Elephas maximus indicus: one gene and its partners. The protein of the gene in region 2 interacts with the protein of the main gene of each other region in a pairwise test. Links are inferred from orthologs where the notes say so. Each region holds a gene or a part of one and is shown on either strand. Other genes may lie near its edges.

Region 1 (7,090 bases), on a different chromosome or scaffold from region 2:
CCCTCCCCATCCCTATCACCTTACCCTGTTTTATTTCTTCAGAGCATTATCTGGACCATGGGTTCACTTGCCCACCTGCATACTGTCTGTCTCCCTCCACTAGATGTCAATCCATGAGGCCAGGGGCTTTGCTGTATCTGTCTGTTGTGGCCAGATCCCTGGTGCCTGGCACACAGTGAGGCTCCAAAAACGTATACCAAGAGAATGAGTGAACAAATGGGTGAGCTGGTCTCTGACTCCCGCCTGGCCACCTCCAACCCCACGTCCATTGCCAGAGAGGTCTTCCAAGTCAACCGTCTCTTACTTATCAAACATCTCTAATGATTCTCCTTATCTTCAGAATAAAACCCAAACTCCACAGTGTGGCACATTCTGACCCCACCTAATATTTTTCTAGATTCCTCTTCCCTCCCTCCCTGCATCCACACAGGCTGCTGGCCTTTCCCAGAATATCCCACTCTTGACCATGTTTCCAGGTCTTTAAGCATACTGTCCGGAGCTGGGGTGCAGTCTTCCCCAAATCCATCTTACACACTCCTATACATCCTTCAATGCCCAGCTCAAAAGTCCTCCTCATGAAGCCTTCTCCAACACTTCCTACTGGCTTCCTGCTGCGCTCCCAAAGCCCTTGGTCAGGCCTCTTCGTTCATGATCAATAGTCAGGGGCTGCTGTGTGTCTGTCCAGACAACGAGGTCCTAGAGAGGGCAGGGCCCCAGCCTTTGAGGGTGCCTACAAGGGGCTTGTCTGAGACATGAAAGGAGGACCTGTGGTTTGGCTGTCCATGCCTGATACTCACTTATTCATTCAACAAGCATTACCTGCACCCTGCGCAAGGACAAGACCCCTCACTGTCTACAGCCCCTGCCAGTGACAGCCCCAGGCCTGGCCCTCACTCACCCTTCTTCTGCCCTCCCAAGGGGCTTTGTGTCTTCTGACTGGCACCTTGCCTCAAGCTTAGCCAAGGGACTTTGAAGTGGGAAAGGAAAGAAGATGCTATATTTTCCAAAGACATTTTGTTAAACTCCTCTGCCCATCACACACGCACACTCCATCCCATCCATACCACGTGGACTCATACACAAAAGACCGCCACACAGCCCCAGCATGGTGCCTGGTACACAGCAGATGCTCAATAAATGCTTCGTGGGTAGACACAAACAGGCCAACACAGCCTCCACCCCACGTGATCCGAGACTGCTGTGCTGTTGAACGGGTAGCCACTTTATCCACCTCCGAGGAGCCCAAGCCTCCACTGATGGGGCGGCGGGGGGAGCTGGATTAGGTGTCCCTGCTGTGCCTTTGACCCCACCTGCCCTCTGACTTCCAGTCTCCTGAGTTAGGCCAGGTGGGCAGAGTGGTGTCAGAGGCCTTGCTGTGCAGCACACAAGGCAGAAGGTGGGGTCCCAGCTCCTATTGTCCCTGTCACGCTCTCATGAGAGTTCCTCGGTGGCAGCCAGCCTTCAGATCCTGGGTGGCCAAACCCATCATTAGTCCACTTCCCAGCACTTCCTGTGGATGAGGTGAAAACACCTGGGTCCCCTTCCAGGAGCAGCAGAGCCAGGTGACCCCTTTGGCACAGTATGGAAGTAGGAAGCTGGTACCTCCCCAGTGGCAGGCTGGTTTGTCCAGGGCAGCCACCTGTCCACGCCACAACCAGAACATGGCAAGTCATGACCAGGCTGTGACCCAGGTGCCTGTGAACACTCATTTCCAGGACTTTGTTGGCACAGGAAACCCACCAAACCACTGCGACCCTATAGGACAGAGTAGAACTGCCCTGTGAAAAGCCGAATGTAGCTAATTACCTGGGGCCAAGCGTGCCACACACATCATGTGGTCCTCCAGCGGCCCATTATCCAGATGGTCCAAACAGCACTGGGCAGGGAGATGGCTGACCAAAGCCTCTCAGTTACTAAGGGGTGGAGGCGAGCTTTGAACCTCAGGCTGTGTGACCCCAGTCCAGGCTGTCTGCCCTTGTACTGTATAGGTTCCCTGGAGCAGAGGGGCTCAGGGTTGGAGGGTTTTAGGGACCAACTTATCCAGTCCCCTGCAACCTGGCAAGTGGCCTGATGTAACACAGAGAACACTGGACTGGGAGTCCAGAGGCTTGGGTTTAGTTCTAGGTCCATCGCAGTCAGTGCTAGCCCATTCCCCACCTGGGCCTCAGTTTTCCCACTTTTCCACTTTTGGGCCTGGCTCAGAGGGTCTCTGGGGTCCTTTGTGCTCCAACGGGATCTGAGTCTAGTCTTTGCTTCACCTGGAACCCTAACTCAGTGTCTCAAAACTTGAGGCAGCCTCTCCACGTGGGCCCCAACCCCCAGCGAATGTGCAGCCGCTCAGGGAACAGGCAAGCCGGCCACCAGTGCAAGCCCTAGGTCCACCCTCGGGGGGGCGGGCCTGGGAGGGGTTCTGGCGGCTGAGCCATGGGGTGTGTGGGGTCGTGGGCTGTCGGATGGGGGACTACATACAGAAGAGGAGGCGATCCCTAGCCCTGGAGTCCCCTGCCCCCGCTCCGCCGAGGCGCCTACCTTGTGCTATGAGAACGACACCTTCGGGGTCACCCGGGACGGACCCGCTGAGGGTGGGGGTCCTCGGGGCCGGGCTGGCTCCCCTTCACTGGGCCTCCGCAGTGGACAACGGGGCGCGTCCGAGGAAGGACGGGGTCCCCCGGCATCCGCCTGGACTCTGTACCCCCGGGGGTCCGAACGTCGCGAGGACGACGTGGGGGCTGAGCCTCGCGCTGGTACCCAGTCCCGCAAGTGCACATGCGCCCGGGTGGCGACCCCGCCCCCCGAGCCCCCTCCCCAACCCCCCTTCCCCCTTTTCCCCCAAGACCACTGACCATAGTGACAGGAGCCAGGTCCCGCCCCAGCGAGGAGCGATCCGGTGCGGGAGGGCGCGGCGGAGGCACTAGCCAGCTCCACGGTTGGGTCGGGCGACAGGGCCTGGAGCGCGAGGGGGGGTGTGCGGAGAATACACCCGACCGCCCCGCAAACCAGAGGGTAGACCTCCACTGTGTCCCAGCAAGACACACGCCCCGCGATTGACGTCTGAAGCGGGCAATCAGAAACCGGGGCTCAGGACGTCACAGAAAGTGGGTGGGACTTCACGTTTCTTCAGCCTATGCTTTATGGCTCATTTGACAGGATCCCTCCCCCTTTTAAACACACAGAAAGCTTTTAACTAGCAAAGGAGTTCGCCCAACCTAGAAAGACAGGTCTTCGGTTGTAAAGGCTGAAGGACTTTTGACAAAAACTGCGAAGTGAGGTCTTCTGAAAGATGAGCTGGCCCTCATAAATTCATAAACAATGTCACATAAGTATAGTTTGCTCAAGATCAGAGGACAAGGCACGAGGAAACACGTGTCCAATAACATTAAGTTAACCACCTGTCCCTGTGTAGCTTCTAAATAATAGCTCCCCTTCTTCCAGCTCATGAATTAGTAGGTTTCCAGGCATCCAATTACAACTTGTTGAATGAATGAATTTCCCGGCTGGTTGACTTTGTGGTTCTGGTATTGTATGGATGTATATGGGGCACAGGCGGTGAACCGGGTCTGGGTGACTCAGGCTGCGGACAAGCTCATTACTACCAGACTCCAAACGTGTTTATCATCCAAAGATGCGTTCACCAACCCCTGGCCTCTGGAGGGGTCTGCTTCGTGTGGAGGCTCCAGCGCGTGGTGTACACCCGTTTTACGAGCATGAATACTCCCTTGAGTGTTCACCGAGTCGTCCACTTCCACACGCCCTACTCCCAGCCCCAGGCACCAGAGTAGGTTCTTAGGTAGACAAACACCTGTGGCTTCAAGTGTTTGTCATTTACTTGGGGGAGGGGAGGAAAGGAGGCCAACCGAGGCTCAAGAAACAATAATGATAACCGCAGCAGTGGACTCATACCTACCACGGACCAAACAATAGCCAACTTTTATTGAGCACTTACTACGTGTCAGGGAGCGCCCTAAGTGTTAAACCGTGTATTATCCTACTTCATTCTCACAGCTAGTTTCTGGGGGTTGTTGTCGTTAGTTGCTGTTGAGTTGATTCCGACTCACGGCAACTCCATGTGTCCAAAGCGGAACCGCTGCATGGGGTTTTCAAGGCTGTGGCCTTTCGGAAGCAGATCGCCAGGCCTTTCTTCTGAGGTGCCTCTGGGTAACTTCGAATTGTTGTCGAGCACTTAACCATTTGTACTTCCACGGTAAGTCTATTATTATCTCTGTTTTACAGATGAGGAAACTGAGGCACAGACAGATTAAGCTCCTTGCCCAAGATCACATAGCATCCAGGTGGGATTCAATCCCAGGCAGCCTGACTCCAGAGCTGGTTTTGAATGTGCTCTGCCAAGGAACCGTGCACAGGACTGTAGGGGCTGTCTACTCCCATGCCCTTGCTTGTTTTGGAGGGTCTCTGCTTTGTTTTTTGCGGCAGAGGAAGCCAAGGCTCAGAGAAGTGACAGGACCGACCCAGCATGTCTCAGCTGGGAAGTGGCCCGGCTGGGTTGTGTCCTGGGACTTCTGATGCCTTGTCCAGTGCTTCCTCCAGACTTGTTTGGGTTCTGTGGGGCTGTCTGGTGGGGGAGTGACTGAGCCAGGTGTGGCCCTTCGGGGTTCATGTGGGGTGCAGGTGAGGAGCCTTGGCTGTGGAGGCCTTTGTCTGGGGTCTGGCCCCTGAGGCCTTTGAGGTCTCTGGGAGGAGGAGGCCGAGTGAGCTGAGGCTTCCAGGCCCCTTGGCGCTGGGCCACACTAAGCCCTGAGACCTCAGCCCCCTGTCCTTCCCAGCGCAGGCCAAGGCAGCTCCAAACCTGCTGTCATTGCTTTGTGGAAGGAACACTGGACTGGAGTCCCCAAGTGGCCTTGGGCTCTGATGGTCCCTGCTGTGTGGCCCCAGGCAACTGCAGGCCTTCTCTGGGCCTCTGGTTCCTCACTCAGTGAGAAGGCTGGACAATCTGGGCAGTTAAAAATTTTTAGCAGCAAAGTCTTTAAAAACAAAAACACAGTCTTATCTAGAATCTCTGTAAATGTGCTCAGTCATTTGAGTTTCAGCAAAGCTCGAATAAAAAAGCTGCCGTCGTTCTGACTCATAGCTACCCTACAGGACAGAATATAACTGCCCCATGGGGTTTCCAAGGAGTGGCTGGTGGATTCGAACTGCCAACCTTTTGGTTAACAGCCGAGCTCTTAACCACTCTGCCAGGGGAAAATGTACTTTATGTAGTCTGTAACAAATCTGGCTTCTTCCTGGCTCTCTAGTTAGGAGAGGACCAGGTCTCCTACGTTGTAAATCGCTTCACTTCCTTGCAGAGTGCCTGCCCCACTGAATATCCACCTGAGTCCTCCAGACTGTCCTTACCCCTTCACATTAGAGCCTAGAACCTTGGTCTGGAAAACTTGTTCCCATACCAGTTAGTGTACTTTGTCACTGCTGGCCAAGGTCAGAAAGGATAAGAGTTAGAGTTAGCCCCCCTTGGAGTCCTGGGTGGCACAGGAGACCAGATCGTCATGCAGGTCAGAGATGAGAGTGGCTGGACTAGGGAGAACTGTGGAGATGGGGAGAAGTGAATGCTTTCCAGGAGCAGGAGGTGACATGGTCAGGACTTGCTGGTGGGCTGGGTGTGGGGTGGCAGGACAGAGAGGGCCTAGGGTGATGGTGAAGTTCCTGCCTGCTCAGCTGGGTGGGTAGGAGAGCCGGATCCCAGACAGTGGGGCCTCGACTAAGTAGACTGAGCAGTGCCAAGAGCCTGTATGAGCCCACCAACAACTGTCCCCCCAAGACTTGAAAATTGGAAGTGTTTAGGGTTTTGTGGTCCCTAGAAATTCTCTGGAACCCTGGAGAACAAAGCGCAGAAGAGCATGGCCTTGGAGCGTGGCCTTGGAGTGGTCGGTAAGAGTTTCCTGAAACTTGAACCCGTGTTTACAGATGATGAAAAATGGCAAGGGGGGGTATAAGTGCTGGGCGCTGGGTGTCTCCTTCAAGGTCCCAGGGGTCCACGGAGCTCTGCCAGGCAGAACCTGTAGTGCAGTGTAAACATGGAGCAGCTTCCGGGGCTATCTATTTTACTCAAGGAAACATGATTTTGGCACTAGAGCAAAGTCTTACAAAATAGAATGCAAATTTGCTTACGTAAAACTTTCAAATGAAACACAAAGTTATTCTGAGTTCCTTGTCAAGCCTGCATACCAGCTCCTAAAGTTCTGAATTCACTCTCCTCTGCCATTAGAGGTATTTGCAGGGTAAGTTCTAGAAGCTTTGATGAGGAAAAGAGCCCCAGCCTCAAGGTCAGCCAGACTTGGGCTCTGCCACCTGTTTGCTCTGTAACCTTGAGCAAGTTACCCCACCTTTCTGAGCCAGGGCATCAATTTTGTCTGTATTTAAAAAAGCTGCCTGTCCTATAGGGTTGCTATGAGTCAGAATCGACGCGAGGGCACTGGGATTTTTTGGGTTTGGGCCTCTCCCAGGAGGACCTCAGGCCGTTGTTCTCTCTGATTGGGTTTTTAATTTTCTCACAATTCTCACTTTTTACTCCTTGCTGAAGGAGGATGAAGATTTGTTCATCTTCTAGATGGCAGCATTTTGCCTAGAATAATTTCTTGTGGGAGACTACAGGAAGTGGAAAAATGAGAATCAATCATTGCAGGAATAAAGGGGGAGCCCCCATCCTGCCGCATCCTGTGAAAGATGTGATAGCAATGTGTCAATGCGTAAATGTCTTTGATCAACTTTTTGAAATATTTTTAAGTGATGTGCTACAACACTTGGTGCAAAAGGCAAAAAAAATGAGAGCCCCCTGAACCTCCTCAGTCAATGCTATGAATATTACCAGGTCTTATTTTCAGCCAGTTCTTCCCAGAACCACCCGCCAGATTTGGTGATAATCTATGTGGCCATTTGTGAATAAACCAGTAACAAACAAAAACTTAATGCATGCATTTATAAAAATAGGGACTTTGTCCTGTTTTTCTGTTCCCTTCGCATCGCACTCATCCCAACTCCACCTGTGAAAGGCTTGTGAACACCTACATTCATCGCAGCATTACTCACAGTCAACAAAAGGAGAAAACAACCCAAGTGTCCATCAACAGATGAATGG
Region 2 (7,319 bases):
CAGCCGGTCCGCCCGCGCGCCGCCGCCGCCCGCGCGCTATACATACGGCATATGTCGCGCGGCGCTCGCACCCGCGCGCAGCCTAGCTTGCTCAACGGGGGCGGAGTGAGCGCGCGGCGGCGCTTCCGCTTTACACGCCCCAGCCGGTGACCGGTTAGATCTGGCTCGGGCCACCCCGACACCTTTACAGTGAACAGTGGGGAAACTGGAGCGGTTGGGAGGTGGGTGGGGGTTGGTAGGCACCAAGAAACAATAAGGGAGGGGAGAAAGAATACTTGCCAAGGTCCCCCTCCCACCCAGATTTCGGTATTAGAAACGGTTCTGCTCTTGGCCACCCTTTACCATCCCCTCAGGTCAAATCAAGGTAGCTGGTCTGGTGACTAGAGTATGCCGGGAAATACTTTGCTTCAGCTTAGAGGAAAACACTTTTGGCACAAGCCACCTGAGCCCTTCACTCGGAAAACAGGAAAATGGTGTCCTGCTACCCGACCGACCCCACCTCTGAATAGGATTTCCAGCTAAAGTTGCGTTCAGGGCCATTCGGCACCTTAAAGGTCAGCAGAAGCTTCTCCCCTCTTAGTCTGAGGAAGCCTGAATTCATTTTTTTTGGTGCCCCAAGCAAATCGGGGTGATAACATGACGTAACTCGGGCCCGAGGCGCCTCGAAAAGCCCCGGGAGGGACTCGAGCAGGGGAGGAGACGGCCGCCCTGGAGGGACCTTTACCGGCGCACGCCGGTTCCAAGCCTCGCCCCAGAGCCCACTCTCCCCACCCGCCCGCGACCAATCCAATCAGCGCCTAGCATCGCCTTAGCAACAGGCTAACAAACCCGGCTCTGCCTATCGCGGGCCGCCCGAGGCGGGGTCTCAGTTACCAGGCTAGTTTGAGAGGTCCCAGTTTTTAAGTCATTGAAACTATTCCAGGCTAAGCGCTCGTCCACGCTTTGCAGGGGTTAGGGGCATCTCATGGGTTGCGGGACAGTTTCTTTACCATGAAATCACAGAGCAACTAATGAAACTGTATCTGTCCCCACACTCATTGTTCTACTTTCCCCTATTCCAAGTCTCAACTCCTTAAAGAAAAACCTTTGTTTCTTCCCATCCATTTTATGAAAGGCTGCAATCTCCTGAAAGGTTCACACACACGAACTCCTGTGTCTGCGCTTTTCAGCAAATACCAGAACTGTCATTAGATATTTGCATTTTGTATCAGAATTAATACTTGGAGAGATTAATCAGCAATTATTTAAGGATGCAAGTTGCCTGTGTACAATAATGAAAACCCTATTAAAAGGACTTCATAATATTTTCTAAATAATATATTAATACGGTAACTCAAATCCTTCATTTCTATACTTGCCTTAGTTCAATTAGCACTTCGCCAGGGATGTATATTTTTTAAATAAAAAAGGCAAAACTGTACTTCTATTTCTAAAAAAATCGTCATTTGAACTAAATGCTGCATTAAAAAGGAGAAGCACAAAATTACATAACCAGTTTTAACATTATATTCTTCTTAGGCTAGGAATTAAGTCATCGCCACCACCTGACGCGTGTAACCAATCTGCTGAGAGCAGAACAAGCGCCCCTCCTCACCACCCCCCAGAACTGGTCCCAAACAGGATTGAACCGCTTCTAACAAAGGGTGGAAACTTAGAAAAACAAGCTTAGAGTCTCTTATATTTTCACAATGTAACCATTTAAACAATAGATTGGAAATCTCAGGACCCCTTTTCCCTTTGAGAACCCTTTATCTCCCTTTTCAAACCAAAAATCAAATGCGATGTGCCGAATACTTTTCAATTCCATTTGACTGGCATGGGTTTCATTGAATGCATGTTCCAAAGTTACACATGATGCTCGGAAAAGAAAATTACTGACCCCAAATGGCTTCTAAAACTGACTTGAAGCCTATCATAATGATAGATATTGTACTTTAAAATAAAGCGTGCTTGATGTAAATGTCTAAAAGAACTGGAAAAATAGGGGAAAAACACATGGGGGTGTTAATACCATATGTCAAAATAAGCCATGGGAAACCCTTTATCAAAGAACAATGATCAATCCTTAAAGTCTTCTGCGTGTCACTATTAAAAATGAAATACACTTATTACCCATTTAAAAATATTCTATTTCTTCACTGAAACTCAGTTTTAGAGCTAAGGCTGTAAAGTTAAAAAAAAAAAAACTAATATTGGGCTGTAGCTTTTAGCAATTCATTTGAAAACATATTAGTAAAATTACTGAATCGGATTTAAGCAGAATTTATAAGTAAGGTGCAAATGGATTCCAAGTGCGTACTAGAGGTAGCTGAATAAGTGCAGTTTGCAGTACTTTGCAGATGCCTGCATGCATTACGGCTAATACACGATGAATGTCAAGGAGAATCCAAATACTCCAACTTTGCTAGCCTTTATCAAACTATGTGTTACGCTAGAAATAGACATATTAATTCGGAAAAAAAATACCTTCCCAAAGAAAACAGGTCTAAAAACTACTGAAAAATATAAAAACTTACCTCTTTCGTGTCCAATTAAGATGTCTTTATGGTTGAAATATTCTACTTCTTCAGTGTAATTCTGTGTATAGGCAGTATTGGAGCCGGCGTTTCTAGATTCAGTCCAGCGTACTTTCGCATGTCCTCTTGCATGAATTTTAAGAGATTTTACTCTGATTTCCCCAGTAACTTCTAAATTCACCCTTCCTGAGACTGTATCCCCACTAGAATACACAGGGACATTGCTGTCATTAAGACAGTCAAAGCTTATTGTCAAACTCTTAACCTTTCCCAGCACCATGTTTATAACAAAATCTATAAAAATATAATGTAAGAAAAAAAAAGTCAAGAGCGCATATAAAATGCGATCTTCACTGAACACTGATCGATGTCTTTGCCATGCAAAAAGCTTGCAGGCAGGATCAGCGATTCTTTACAAATAGTTCATTGAGATTTCTTAAAAAGCAGGGCAGCAGGGAGGCTGCCGCTCCGCACTCCTGCTCGTCTCAGCGGTCTTGGTACAAAGACGGGCGGCTGAAGCCTGCTAGCTCACTTTAAGAGCAGCTTTGTGGAAAAACAACCCCAGTGCGCATGCGCACGCCGCGGCTGCTGTCCGCCCTCCTTGCACGTCCCCTCCCGCTCCGGGCTCGCTCCCTCGTTCGCTGGCTCGCTTGTGGGTACAGTAGGTGTCGAGCTAGGGGAAGGAGATACTGGGGCTGCCGAGAGGCTGAACCTGACTTGTCTTCATTGAGGGCTCCTATTGGTAGGCAGGCTACCGTAAACTCTCGACGTGGTATCTCTATCTCCTTACCGAGCACACGCTGATAGAAAGATAATGGCAAGAGGGGGCGGTTAGGGAACGAGGACTGGGTGGGTTGCTGTTTGCAAAGCTATGTGGATAAACTGCTGAGTGACCAGCCCAAAGCGTGGGTTACTGGCACTGCAGGGTTTTGCCAGCTGCCTGGATGGGAGGAGGAAAAAGTGATGTGTGAAGGGAGGTGGAGGAAGGGGTGAAACCGGTTGGGCAAACGGGTGGTTACCGAGCATAATCTAACGAATTTCAAAAGAAAACGTAATAAAAACAGACAAGAATTATTGTTCACAGACAAGAGCATTATTGGCTTGGAGGTTTTTTTCTTTTTTTAACCGGTACTTTGTAGGTAGGGTGGAAATGAACTCAGTCGAGGCCAAAAGGAATCTTAAAAGACAATAACTCCTAAGGATCAAGGAAGAGAAGGAAATATAATTTAGTCAATAGTCTGCTTTCTCCTCTGTCTCCTAATTAGATTAAAAAAAAAAAAAATAGCAACGAAAAATAACCAAGTTGTTTCCAGGATGACACCAGGGAGGGAAAGGCTTGACCACTTCCTTGAAGGAAAAAAAGTCTTTTTTTAAGACACCACCTACGACTACATTTGCAGGGTAGGACATGATTGCTACTCCCGTGTCCAGAGGAGTAATAATAGAATTTGGCCTAAAACAGGCCTAAAAAGGCAGCATGACATAGTGGTTTAGCTGACATATTGTTTACAGCAGGATAGAATAATCTTAGTTAGAAATTAGGGTAGCACATAAGATGACTGTTCTGAAGGCATGATTTAGTATTTAAATGGGGCTTAATTCTGTAAAGCTTTCATCTTAATTTTCAACTGATAGCCTTGGACCGTTCAACATAGTAATTTTTGTATCTTAAATCTAGGTAAATTTTCCCCTTTTTATTGTGAATTTCTTGGTACAAAAATAACAGTACTTTCATAAAATCACACTGGGTTTCAAAGCATAACAGCATTAATTCATCTAGACTATCAGCAATCAAGAGAACTGCTTATAATAAATATAGATAAAATATGAATCTGAAACTGTATATACATGAGCAAATATACTTTGGAAGATTTTTGGCTGTCACGTCTAAACATTTTATTTTGTGAATTATGTTTGGATAGGTTGACCCAATGAGTCACCATAAACCAAACTCACTGGTCTTGCCCTTTTTTTTTCTGAATACTTTTAATTAGTTGGGTTTTAGTTAACAAGGCATTATCTTGAACTGAACAGCATTATATATAGCGTACAGATTTGGACAGTTAATAGGCAGACCATTGATCTCTGATAGAGTTTAGATCCTTTTGCTTAAAATTATGAATTTGTGTCTTCATTTTTCCTCTTGGTTGACACCTGGTGGAAGGAAGTTCTAGTTAAAGTACTTGGGACCCTGTACTAGCTTTGATAACATATGCTGCTTGTGTTTTCTCGCCATCTAGTGGTAAATTCGTTGAATTTGCCAAAGTGTCAGTTTTTCCTCATCAAGATCAAATGGTATTAGTTAAGTGTTCAAATGACACTGAGCAAAGAACTGGATGTAAAAGTACTGTACACAATGAGGAGGCCCTCATTACTAAATTTGTGTTTTAATTACTGAGAGCTAGTGAACAATGGCTGAATTCTTCAGGATTTTTTAGTAAAATTTCTTTGGTTAGAGTATAACATTTCTGAAACACTAAGACTCAGCTAGTTAAATAAACTAGAATTACATCTAACAAATGGAACCCTAAGAAATTTACTTGTTTGGAAAGTTATTTCAACACAATAAATGATTATAATTTATTCCTATCATTGTATTTTACGCTATTCCTTCTGTTCGATGCCTTTTAAAAAAATTTATAAATCATTGTCTTTGTTATTTACCTTACTATTTTTCTTTTTATTTTGCCTTCTTAAACACTTTAGTAACCAACAAGTTACCAAAAGTTCTTATCCCCTATCATTTTTAGCATGCAAAGGCTGGACGATGAATAAGGAAGACTGAAGAAGAATTGACCGCTTTGAATTGTGGTGTTGGTGAAGAACATTGAATATACCATGGACTGCCAAAAGAAGGAACAAATCTGTCTTAGAAAAAGTACAACCAGAATGCTCCTTAGAAGCAAGGATGGCAATACCACATCTCATACTTTGGACATGGTATCAGGAGAGATCAATCTTTGGAGAAGGACATCATGCTTGGTAAAGTAGGGTCAGCGAAAAAGAGGAAGACCCTCAACAAGATAGATTGACACAGTGCCTGCAACACAGACTCAAGCATAACAATGATCTTGAGAATGGTGCAGGACCAGGCAGTGTTTCGTGCTGTTGTACATCGGGTCTCTATGAGTCGGAATCAGCTCGACGGTGCCTAACAGCAACAACATCATTTTTACTTAAGATCCCATCCACTTACCCAGGTTATCACCTTTCTTCTCTTTGGATTTGGCTACGTGACTATTTGTCAAGTATCTAAACTTGAGTTTATCTGATTCATTTTGTTTTCCTCCTATGCAAACAATGAAAACACTGGAAAATTCAGCTGCTTAAAAACCAAACCAAAACAAAACTCTGGCATCTCTGAAGCCCTGCTTATCTTTTCACTTCTAAAAGAAAAAAATATCACTTGGACCAAATCGTGAGTGTATTCGCTCATGAGTTTCATAACCTCCCTCTTTCAAGACCAAACCGAACCCAGTGCCGTCGAGTCGATTCCGACTTGTAGTGACCCTGTAGGACAGAGTAGAACTGCCCCATAGAGTTTCCAAGGAGCACCTGGCAGATTCAAACTGCCGACCCTTTGGTTAGCAGCCGTAGCACTTAACTACTACGCCACCAGGGTTTCCCCTTTCAAGACATCCTGTCTAAATATCCACCCTTGAGACAGCTTGAAATATTGTCTTAAAACCATTATCTTGGGCTTCTCAGCCTGCTTCGCTGGCCCTAGTTGTATTTTGCATTAATCTATTCATCTTTACCACCAAGGCGCTTTCGTATTGTGTCCCAGCCTTCGTTTCTTGTCATTTCCGCCTACTCATCTGCCGACTCTATACTCCTGTCAAGTACATCTTCTGTCCCCTTTGATAGTTTGTCCCACTGCTGCTGATGTGCAGTTACATGCTGCTTTCTGTGTGCCCCAGAACAACATCCCCCCTACTATATTCTTTCTTTTCTTCTAGCCCATTCACTGGATTCAGTTGGCACAACTGAATAAAATTTGAGCTAGACAGAATAACTAGCTTCTCTGCCCCTTTTTATATCTTCTTCAGAGTTGGGAATCTTTTATTATTTTTTTTTTTGTTTTTGGATTTTGAATTAAATGACTGTTCCACCTTAATGTATATAAGTTTGTCCTCAACCCCAAGAATGCCATCAAAAATTGATAAATGATAACTTCTATCAAGGTATATGATATTGAGGAGATATGTCAAAATTACTGCGAAGTCTGGAGTTTTTGAAATAAAATTATGTTAAAATGCTCAAAATCACTATAGGAAGAAAAAAAAAAGCAGGCCATCTCAGTTGAAAGCTTTAGTATAAAAGCTCATTTTCTGTGTGGTTGTAAGAAACCATACCAGTAATCGGAGCCTGTTTCCTAAAGAAAAATATGAAATCCATGCTTAAGTCTTATTTTTACTGGCATCTTGACAGGTTTGAGTGCTTTAGAACCAAGGGAGGTTTTTTTGTTTGTTTGTTTTTTTAAGCCTTAATTCGATATTTTAAAATTTCGTAACTGCACCACCAGGGCTCCTTTAACCCATGAGTGTGCTCAAAATGCACCACAGTTGACTTTGTTGTGGAGACTGGAGGGAGGATTTAAAATTAATTCCTGGCTGTTGCTTAAAACCTTCAGTTAACACTCTGTGAGAATACGTCAGCATCAAAATCTGTAGGCAAAGTGACAGCAAGCTAGAAGAAAATCTTGAAGACGTTAGAGTTGAAAAATGTTGTACACAACACTCGACACAGAAGCTGATACTACGTAAAAATATTCTACGTGAAAAAAACTGTAATAGCTTAATG
Region 3 (8,083 bases), on a different chromosome or scaffold from region 2:
CATCTGACAAGTAAAAAAGCATCAGCAACCCATGAGTGACCTCCTAGACATCTTGGCCCATCACTGCCCAGACCAAGAGATAAGTTTCAGTTCAGGGTCTGGGAAAAGCATCTCTTACCCACACAAATAATGTCAGAAAAGACTGCTCACTCTCCAGGTAAGACTCTGCGCCTACCAAAGGCATGCAGTGTCACCTTTAAAGCCCTTAACTATAAACAACCATACCATACATATAGCAAGAAGCAGCTGCTTCCTGCAGGCGCTGTCAAGAAAGGGGGCACAGGGATAGTGTCAAACACCTTTATAGGGAAAGCTCCTACCTGAAGGTTCTTGTCTTCCCTTCAAGGAGGAGGACCTTTTTAAATAAAGGGAGAATTTAAAGCATTTCAGTGCATTTCTAATACTATACTTAACAGAATATATTAAGATTACCTTTAACTCTTTTTTAGGGGGAGGTATATGTTAGACTGTGAGTTCCTTGAGGGCAGGACTCAGTCTAGTCACTTATTTTTGTGACCCCAGAACTCAACACGATGCCTGATGCACAGTAATCATTCAACACACGTTTGCTGAATGAACAGTGAAAAAGGTATAGCAAAAAAAAAAAAAAAAACACAAAGGTGATAAAAAAAAAAAATCTGACTGAATCAGAGAGATGAAAAAATAAGTACACTGTAAAACAACACTCAGGTCAAATAATGACTTGCTTTAATTACAACTATTCCAAATTAAAAGAAGCCTGAAGATCTGAAAAATGTAACATATTTCTCTTCTATGAAAAACGCTTGAGGCCAGTTTGAACATCTTAGTATTTCATTCCACTTTTTCTATTAATTCCATTCTTTTTTGTCTAAAAGAAGTTATAGGTGAAGCCTCAATCAAACTTGCTTTTTCAGATACTGAATTCAGTCATACTTGCGCTAACAAACACTTGGAGCTTTTGTTGATGGTACTCTCCACGAAATAACCTATATATTAAAACAGCAGTGGTTTTTATACGGACAGCAGTACCTCAGTTACCGCACCAGTACTAAGCTGCGTTCCACTAAACTATGCAGGGACACAGAAGCCACAAGGGGAACAGGTAGACCTCCTCAGGCTACTTCTCCCAGAGAAGTTTTCTATTAGAAAACAATCAGCTTCTAGGAAAGAGCGCCACAGCTTTTTGTTTTAAAATAATTTTCAACTCTATTTTGCCCTTTCCACTGCTGTATTAAGATAAAATGAAAATCCTTACAATAGCAATAAAATGCACAGGTTTCACAAAATGTACAGGTGTTCCAAATGCAGAGCCTGTGCTCCTCAACGTTATGCTTCCTAGATTGGCACCAGTCAACTAACTGTGTTCAAATCTCAAGAAAAAAAGGTGAATGAAATACAGGAATGCATATTTGAAGATTATCTAAGGGTCAAGGTGTAATTATAAATATTCTTAATTCTATCAGAACAGAAGGGACCTACACATCTTATTTGAATCTCATATATTTGACTTTTGAATGTGTTTGGGGATCACATCATATGCCAAACTAGAGAACTCTCAACAGTCTCCCCGTAATTTGAAATTATGACTATGAAGCAGGTGGGTTACTGCTATGATGTGTTTATTCTGTGACTCGGGCCATTTTCTATCATACTTTTTCATTTCACCAAAACCTAAAGCTCTACCTAGCATTCTGTTAACTAAGAAAAAAAATTTTTTTTTTTAACTACTGCCCCCAAAATGTTTTCTTTACCATTCTTTTTTTTTATTCTTACCGTAACACCAAAGATAAGGTCCTATTTCCAGTCCATCTTTTTCTCATTCCAAGTCAATAAAAGACCAGTGTTCTTACGACCAGAACAAATAAAGTATCAGTTGTTTTGAACCGTTTTGAGACCCTAAGATTGGTATTTACCTTTTCAGATTGTAAGACAAGACATCTCCTAGCACCTGCGTCAACATCATCGGAGAATAGGGAGTAACGCCTCCAGCAATTGTAAATAAATCGTGAAGCTGCCCTATCAGGGCTTGCCTCCATTTGTACATTAGCAAAGTGAGTTCTTCCTAATAAATGGGGGCAAGTCGAGATCTCTAGTGTTGGGCTGTCTTATCGATGGTTGCACCATCTCCTTAAAAGAAGGGGTTGGGAGAAATAGATAGGGGTTTCACTAGGTCTGGAGCAAGCAAGAAGTTTGTATCATCACTCCACAATTGCTTAATTAGTCCCGCCTCCGGCCAACCGGTGACTCTTCCTTATTCCTGCGCTTGGCGAGGGGAACGGCTCTTTTTCGGGGTCCTCAACCTCAGGCTGGAGCCCTGGTAGCGCAGTGGTTAAGCATTCGGCTGCTAACCAAAAGCTCAGCAGTTCGAAGCCACCAGTCGCTCCTTGGAAACCCTATAAGGAAATTCTACTCTGTCCTGTAGAATTGCTATGAGTCGGAATCGACTAGACGGCGAAGGGGGAGGGGGGCAAACTCAGGTAGGCAGAGGACAAGCCCCAGGCAGCTGGCGATGAGCCAAGGCTGCCCCCCAAAAAACTCGGGCTCCGAGGCTGCGGCGGCGGCAGCGCCGCCCCTTACCTCCCTTCGCTGGTCTGCCCAGTCCCTAGAGTCGCCCCCGCCCACTTTGTAGCTGGACAAACTGCAGTCCGAAGCCCGGGCCCAGCACTCACCCACGTCTTGTTCGAAAGGGTTGGCAGTGAACAGAGGCATCTCGCCGACGCCCGAGCGCTAGCCGCAACGGTCCAGCTGAAGCTTGGCAGGGGCTCCCCGCTCGCTGACCCGGGGCCGCGGCTTCCTAGACTGCTCCGCTGGGGCCGCCGTCCCAGCACTTCCGCCACCACACCTGCCCTGCTCCCGCCTGACAGACCTGCTGCTCTTCCGCACTTGGCGCCGGGATCCCCTCCTGAGGTGAGGCGCCGCTGGCCGCAGGCATCTTTTCAGTGCCCCTGTTGTCGCCACCCACCATGAGAAATGGCAACTCCTGATTTACGGTTTCCTAGGGGTCAGGCGGTCGCCATAGCCACCCCTCCATAGTTAGGACCCGGGCGAGCCACGGAGCGGGGGACCTTCAGGGCCGGAAGTTGTCTCTCCTGGAACTGGGCGATGCCAGAGGCCCGGAAGCTGCAGTTCCGGCGGCGGCGCGGCAGGGGGCGAGATCCCCCGAGATTTTCTGCGCGGGAATCAGGCTCTGAAAACCGCGTTCCTTACCTTAGTTTGAGGCCTGGTGATTCAGTGCTTAAGAGTTCGGTTGCTGACCGAAAGGTTGGCGATTTGAACCCATCAGCCACTCTACGGTAGAAAAATGTGGCAGTCTGCTTCTGTAAGATTGTGGGTTTGGTTTGGGGGGTCCGTTTAGTTTAGTTCGTTCCTGGGCGGCGGGATTAGTCCCTCACGGCGGTGGCCCCATGGCTGCGTTTGCGCTGCTTTCCAAATGGAGCCGCCAGCAAAGAGGTAGCTTTGAGATTCTGCGGAGGGCCTGGCTTGCTCTCGGCCTCTTACAGCGTTGCATCTCACTCTGCGCCTGAACCCTGCCGTAATAACCGCCACGGGAATCGAAATAACTGTGGTTCTGTGGGGACTCCTAACTTCACTTTACGTCATGTTCTCAGCATGAAAACACTGTGCTCAGCTCTGGCACTACCAAAACGAAATGCGGCACAATCCCTGCCTTCGAGTTGCTGACAGTTACTATATGACAATATATGACGATCCTGATAGATAAAAGAAAGGGTCACACTGAAATTTCCTTTAGGAGCCAACCAGGTATTTAAATGAATGTAGAAGTACAAGCACCCGTTCTGGTTAGTTTCCATTCCCCGTTGTACAGGTAATCTGATAAATGTCGGCGGATACCTTTTGGAAAGGATTGGAGGAATATAGTAGCTGGGGCGCCCTGATGGTGCAGTGGTTAAGAGCCGGGCTGCTAACCAAAAGGACGGTAGTTCAAATCCACCAGCTGCTCCTTGGAAACCCTGTGGGGCAGTTCTGCCCTGTCCTACAGGGTCACTAGGAGTCAGAATCCCCTGGATGGCAATGGATTTTATTTGATTTATACTTGCTGTGGCATTACAGGATTTTTTCTCAAGGGGATCCAGCCTCCTGTTCAAATATTGGGCCCTGGGTCAGAGAGCTAGCTCAGGTTTGGGTGGCTAAGAAATTTTGTATTTTCCATTGTGGCAGTTAACATATGGCACCCATTCTTGTCTTTATTTTTTCCCTTGTTGGGTTGTGGGAGGAGGTAATCATCAAGCAATACCCACACTGGCTGCTGTCTATTTAACATCAGGAACACTGTGGCTTATTAATCATCCATAGACTCTTACGGGTCAGGGCCCCCTAGTTGCCATTCAGGCTTTGCTGTAACTTACTGTTATGTCCATTTTGCCTCTGATGGTAGTTTTGCCACCCAGCCTCTGTGATTCTGGTACCTTATCATGCAGCTAAGTAGCAGCCAACTCAACCCTCAACCCCGACCTACAAAGAACAGCTACCGTTGAGCTTAATAATGCCAGTGCTCCACTTATACCTCATAGCAACCTTATGAACAACAGAACAAAAAACTGCCTGGTCTTGAGCCATCCTCACAATCGTTGCTGTGTTTGAGCCCATTGTTGCAGCCATTATGTCAGTCCATCTCATTGAAGATCTTCCTCTTTTCAGTGACCCTCTACTTTACCAAGCATGATGTCCTTCTCCAAGGACTGGTCCGTCTTGATAACATGTCCAAAGTATGTGAGACAACGTGTCAACATCCTCGCTTCTAAAAATCATTCTAGCTGTACTTTTTGCAAGACAGATTTGATTATTCTTCAGTATTTTTCGCTAACACCATAATTCAAAGGCATCAATTCTTTGGTCTTTCATATTTGTTGTCCAACTTTTGCATGAATATGAGGCGATTGTAAGGGGTCAGGTGCTTGTCCTTGTCTTAGTTATCTAGTACTGCTCTAACAGAAAAACAAGTGGATGTTTTTAACAAAGAGAAATTTATTCTCTCAAAGTCTGGTAGGCTACAAGTCCAAATTCAGGGCATCACCTCCAGGGGAAGACTTTCTCTGTAGGCTCTGGAAGAAGATCCCTGTCATCACTCTTCCCTTGGTCTAGGAGCTTCTCTGCACAGGAACCTCAGGTCCAAGGGACACGCTCTGCTCCTGGTGCTGCTTCCTTGGTTGTATGAGGTCCCCCGTCTCTGCTCACCTCTGTCTTTTATATCTCAAAAGAGATTGGCTTAAGACACTATCTAATCTCGTAGATCTCATCAATATAACTGCCACTAATCCATCTCATTACATCTTAGTCATAGGAATAACAACACATAGCGAAATCACATCAGATGACAAAATGGTAGACAATCATATAATACTGGAAATCATGACCTAGCCAAGTTGACAGATATTTTTGGAGGACACGGTTCAATCCATGACAGCCTTCAAAGTGACATCTTTGCTTTTTAGCACATTAAAGAGGTCTTTTGCAGCAGATTTGCCCAATGTAATGTGTCATTTGATTTCTTGACTGCTGCTTCCATGGGCATTGATTGTGGATCCAAGTAAAATGAAATTCTTGACAACTTCAATATTTTCTCTGTTTGTCATGGTGCTGCTTATTGGTCCAGTTGTGAGGATTTTTGTTTTATGTTCAGGTGTGGATCCATACTGAAAACTATAGCCTTTGATGTTCCTCAGTAAGTGCTTCTCAAATTGTCTTTGCTTTCAGCAAGCAAGGTTGAGTCATCTACGTATGATAGGCTGTTAACGAGTCTTCCTCCAGTCCTGGTGCCAAGTTCTTCATATAGTAGTCCAGTTTCTTGGAATATTTGCACAGCCCTGACATGCACCTTTCCTGGCTTTAAAACATGCAGTATCCCTTTGTTCTGTTCAAACAACTGCCTCTTGATCTATGCACAGTTTCTCATGAGAACAACTAAGTGTTCTGGAATTCCGGTTCGTCACAATGTTATCCATAACTTGTTATGATCCACATTTGAGTGCCTTTGCATAGTCAATAAAACCTTGGTAAACATCTTTCTGGTATGGTCTGCTTTCAGCTGGAATCCATCTGACTTCAGCAATGATATTCCTCATTTTACACCTCTTCTGAATCCAGCCTGAATTTCTGGCAGTTCCCTGTGGATGTATTGCTGCAACCGTTTTTTAATTATCTTCAGCAAAATTGTACTTGCCCGTGATATTAAATATTGTGCGATATTTTCTGCCTTCTGTTGGATCACCTTCCTTTGGAATGGGAGCAAATGTGGATCTCTTCCAGTTGTTTGGCCGGATAGCTATGTTCAAAATTTCTTGGCATAGACCAGTGGACACCTCTAGTGCTGCATCTGTTTGTTGAAACATCTCAATTGATATTCCATCAGTTTCTGGAGCCTTGTTTTTTGCCGGTGCCTTCAGTGTAGCTTGGACTTCTTCCTTGACTACCATCAATTCTTGAACATATGCTACCTCCTGAAATGGTCGAACATTGACCAATTCTTTTTGCTACAGGGGATCTGTGTATTCTTTCTGTTTGCTTTTGATATTTCCTGTGTCATTCAATATTTTCCCCATAGAATTCTTAAGTATTGCAACTCGAGGCTTGAAATTTTTCCTCACTTCTTTCAGCTTGAGAAATGCTGAGCGTGTTCTTCCCTTTTGGTTTTCTAACTCCAGGTCTTTGCACATTTGATTATATTATTTTACTTTGCCTTTTGTCTACCCTTTGAAATCTTCTGTTCAGCTCTTTTACTTCATCGTTTCTTCCACTTGGCTTTAGCTACTCTCCATTCAAGAGCAAGTTTCAGAGTCTCTTCTGACACTCTTTCTGGTCTTTTTTTTCTTTCCTGTCTTTTTAGTGACCTTTTGCTTTCTTCACGTATGATATCCTTCAGAGCTTTCTGACCCAGAGACTCTCCACCCTGCTGCTGAGAGACACCATGTATATACAGATTCTCCTGTCCTGGGGGTTCCCTGGAAACCCTGTTGGCGTAGTGGTTAAGTGCTATGGCTGCTAACCAAAATATTGGCCTTTTGAATCCACCAGGTACTCCTTGGAAACTCTATGGGGCAGTTCTACTCTGTCCTGTAGGGTCACTATGAGTCAGAATTGACTCAAAGGCAATGGGTTTGGCTTTTTGGTTTGGGAAGTTCCCATATCCTCTTCCTCTCCTGGGTGGCCCCCACACCACTTGCCTTTGGAAGGCCTCATGCTGTAAGGGACTTCCCCCCACATACAGACTTTTCATTTGTGCCCCAACATTCGCTGTCATTTTCTCTCTTTTCTGTCAGAGGCACCACAACGTTTTTGGCCAAAGTAAACACCTTGGATAAAGTTCTCACTCTGCTGCTATTTTTCCAATTTTCAACCTAATTTTTTCACGTTTTTCGTCAAGCTTTCTTTTTGCTGTTTCTTTTTCCCTCCTCTTTGGCACGGCCTTCATTATACCCCAGGGTCTCATTTCTTCCAAGGCTTTCATTTCTTCCCCTTAAATAAGAGTGCCCATGTAGGAGTAAGAAGGGCCTGAGTAAACTTCATGCTCTGTTAGCCAAGTTATGAGTTCAGAGGCCTCATGCCTCCAAGAGAGAGTGCCTTTTTCCAATTGTATTGCCCAAACATATCATATGGGCTACCCTAGGCTGTACACATACAACCAGTTTAATTATCTGGAAACACAACCTTTCCAGTTTCATTCCTTTACCTGAGAACCTACTGGTTTTGCCCGTCACGAAAAGTTCAGGCCCTTGCCTCTGGTAAATTACTAATTTTTCTCTTCTTAGCACTTTTACTTCCCATGGTTTAAACCATCAGTTTTTGGAGGGAGATGAATTTTCAGATTATATCCCTGCTACTGACTGACTATGTGACTTCTAGGGAAATAACCTCTGGGAACCTCAGTTTTCTTATCTGTAAAATGTCTGCTTCATGTGGCATCTGGGGTCTTAAATGCTAACAAGCGGCCATCTAAGATGCATCAATTGGTCTCAACCCACCTGGATCAAAGGAGAATGAAGAACACCAAGGTCACACGATAACTATGAGCCCAAGAGACAGAAAGGGCCACATGAACTAGAGACTTACATCATCCTGAGACCAGAAGAACTAGATGGTGCCC

What was found.
Region 1: the proteins of ARRDC3 (region 2) and OTUB2 interact in binary tests that used the Homo sapiens proteins (3 or more experiments, as listed by UniProt). The two-hybrid records come from large-scale screens. The link is inferred for Elephas maximus indicus from reciprocal best matches to the Homo sapiens genes ARRDC3 and OTUB2.
Region 3: the proteins of ARRDC3 (region 2) and STAM2 interact in binary tests that used the Homo sapiens proteins (3 or more experiments, as listed by UniProt). The two-hybrid records come from large-scale screens. The link is inferred for Elephas maximus indicus from reciprocal best matches to the Homo sapiens genes ARRDC3 and STAM2.

Annotation. Positions count from the first base shown.
Region 1 is NC_064828.1:107,602,106-107,609,195, reverse strand, and holds the start of OTUB2 (ubiquitin thioesterase OTUB2), read right to left. Parts: upstream 3,038-7,090; 5' UTR 2,847-3,037; coding exon 2,844-2,846; intron 1-2,843. UniProt on the Homo sapiens protein: Hydrolase that can remove conjugated ubiquitin from proteins in vitro and may therefore play an important regulatory role at the level of protein turnover by preventing degradation.
Region 2 is NC_064820.1:98,106,545-98,113,863, forward strand, and holds the start of ARRDC3 (arrestin domain-containing protein 3), read right to left. Parts: upstream 3,037-7,319; 5' UTR 2,797-3,036; coding exon 2,517-2,796; intron 1-2,516. UniProt on the Homo sapiens protein: Adapter protein that plays a role in regulating cell-surface expression of adrenergic receptors and probably also other G protein-coupled receptors.
Region 3 is NC_064824.1:49,378,204-49,386,286, forward strand, and holds the start of STAM2 (signal transducing adapter molecule 2), read right to left. Parts: upstream 3,044-8,083; 5' UTR 2,692-3,043; coding exon 2,652-2,691; intron 1-2,651.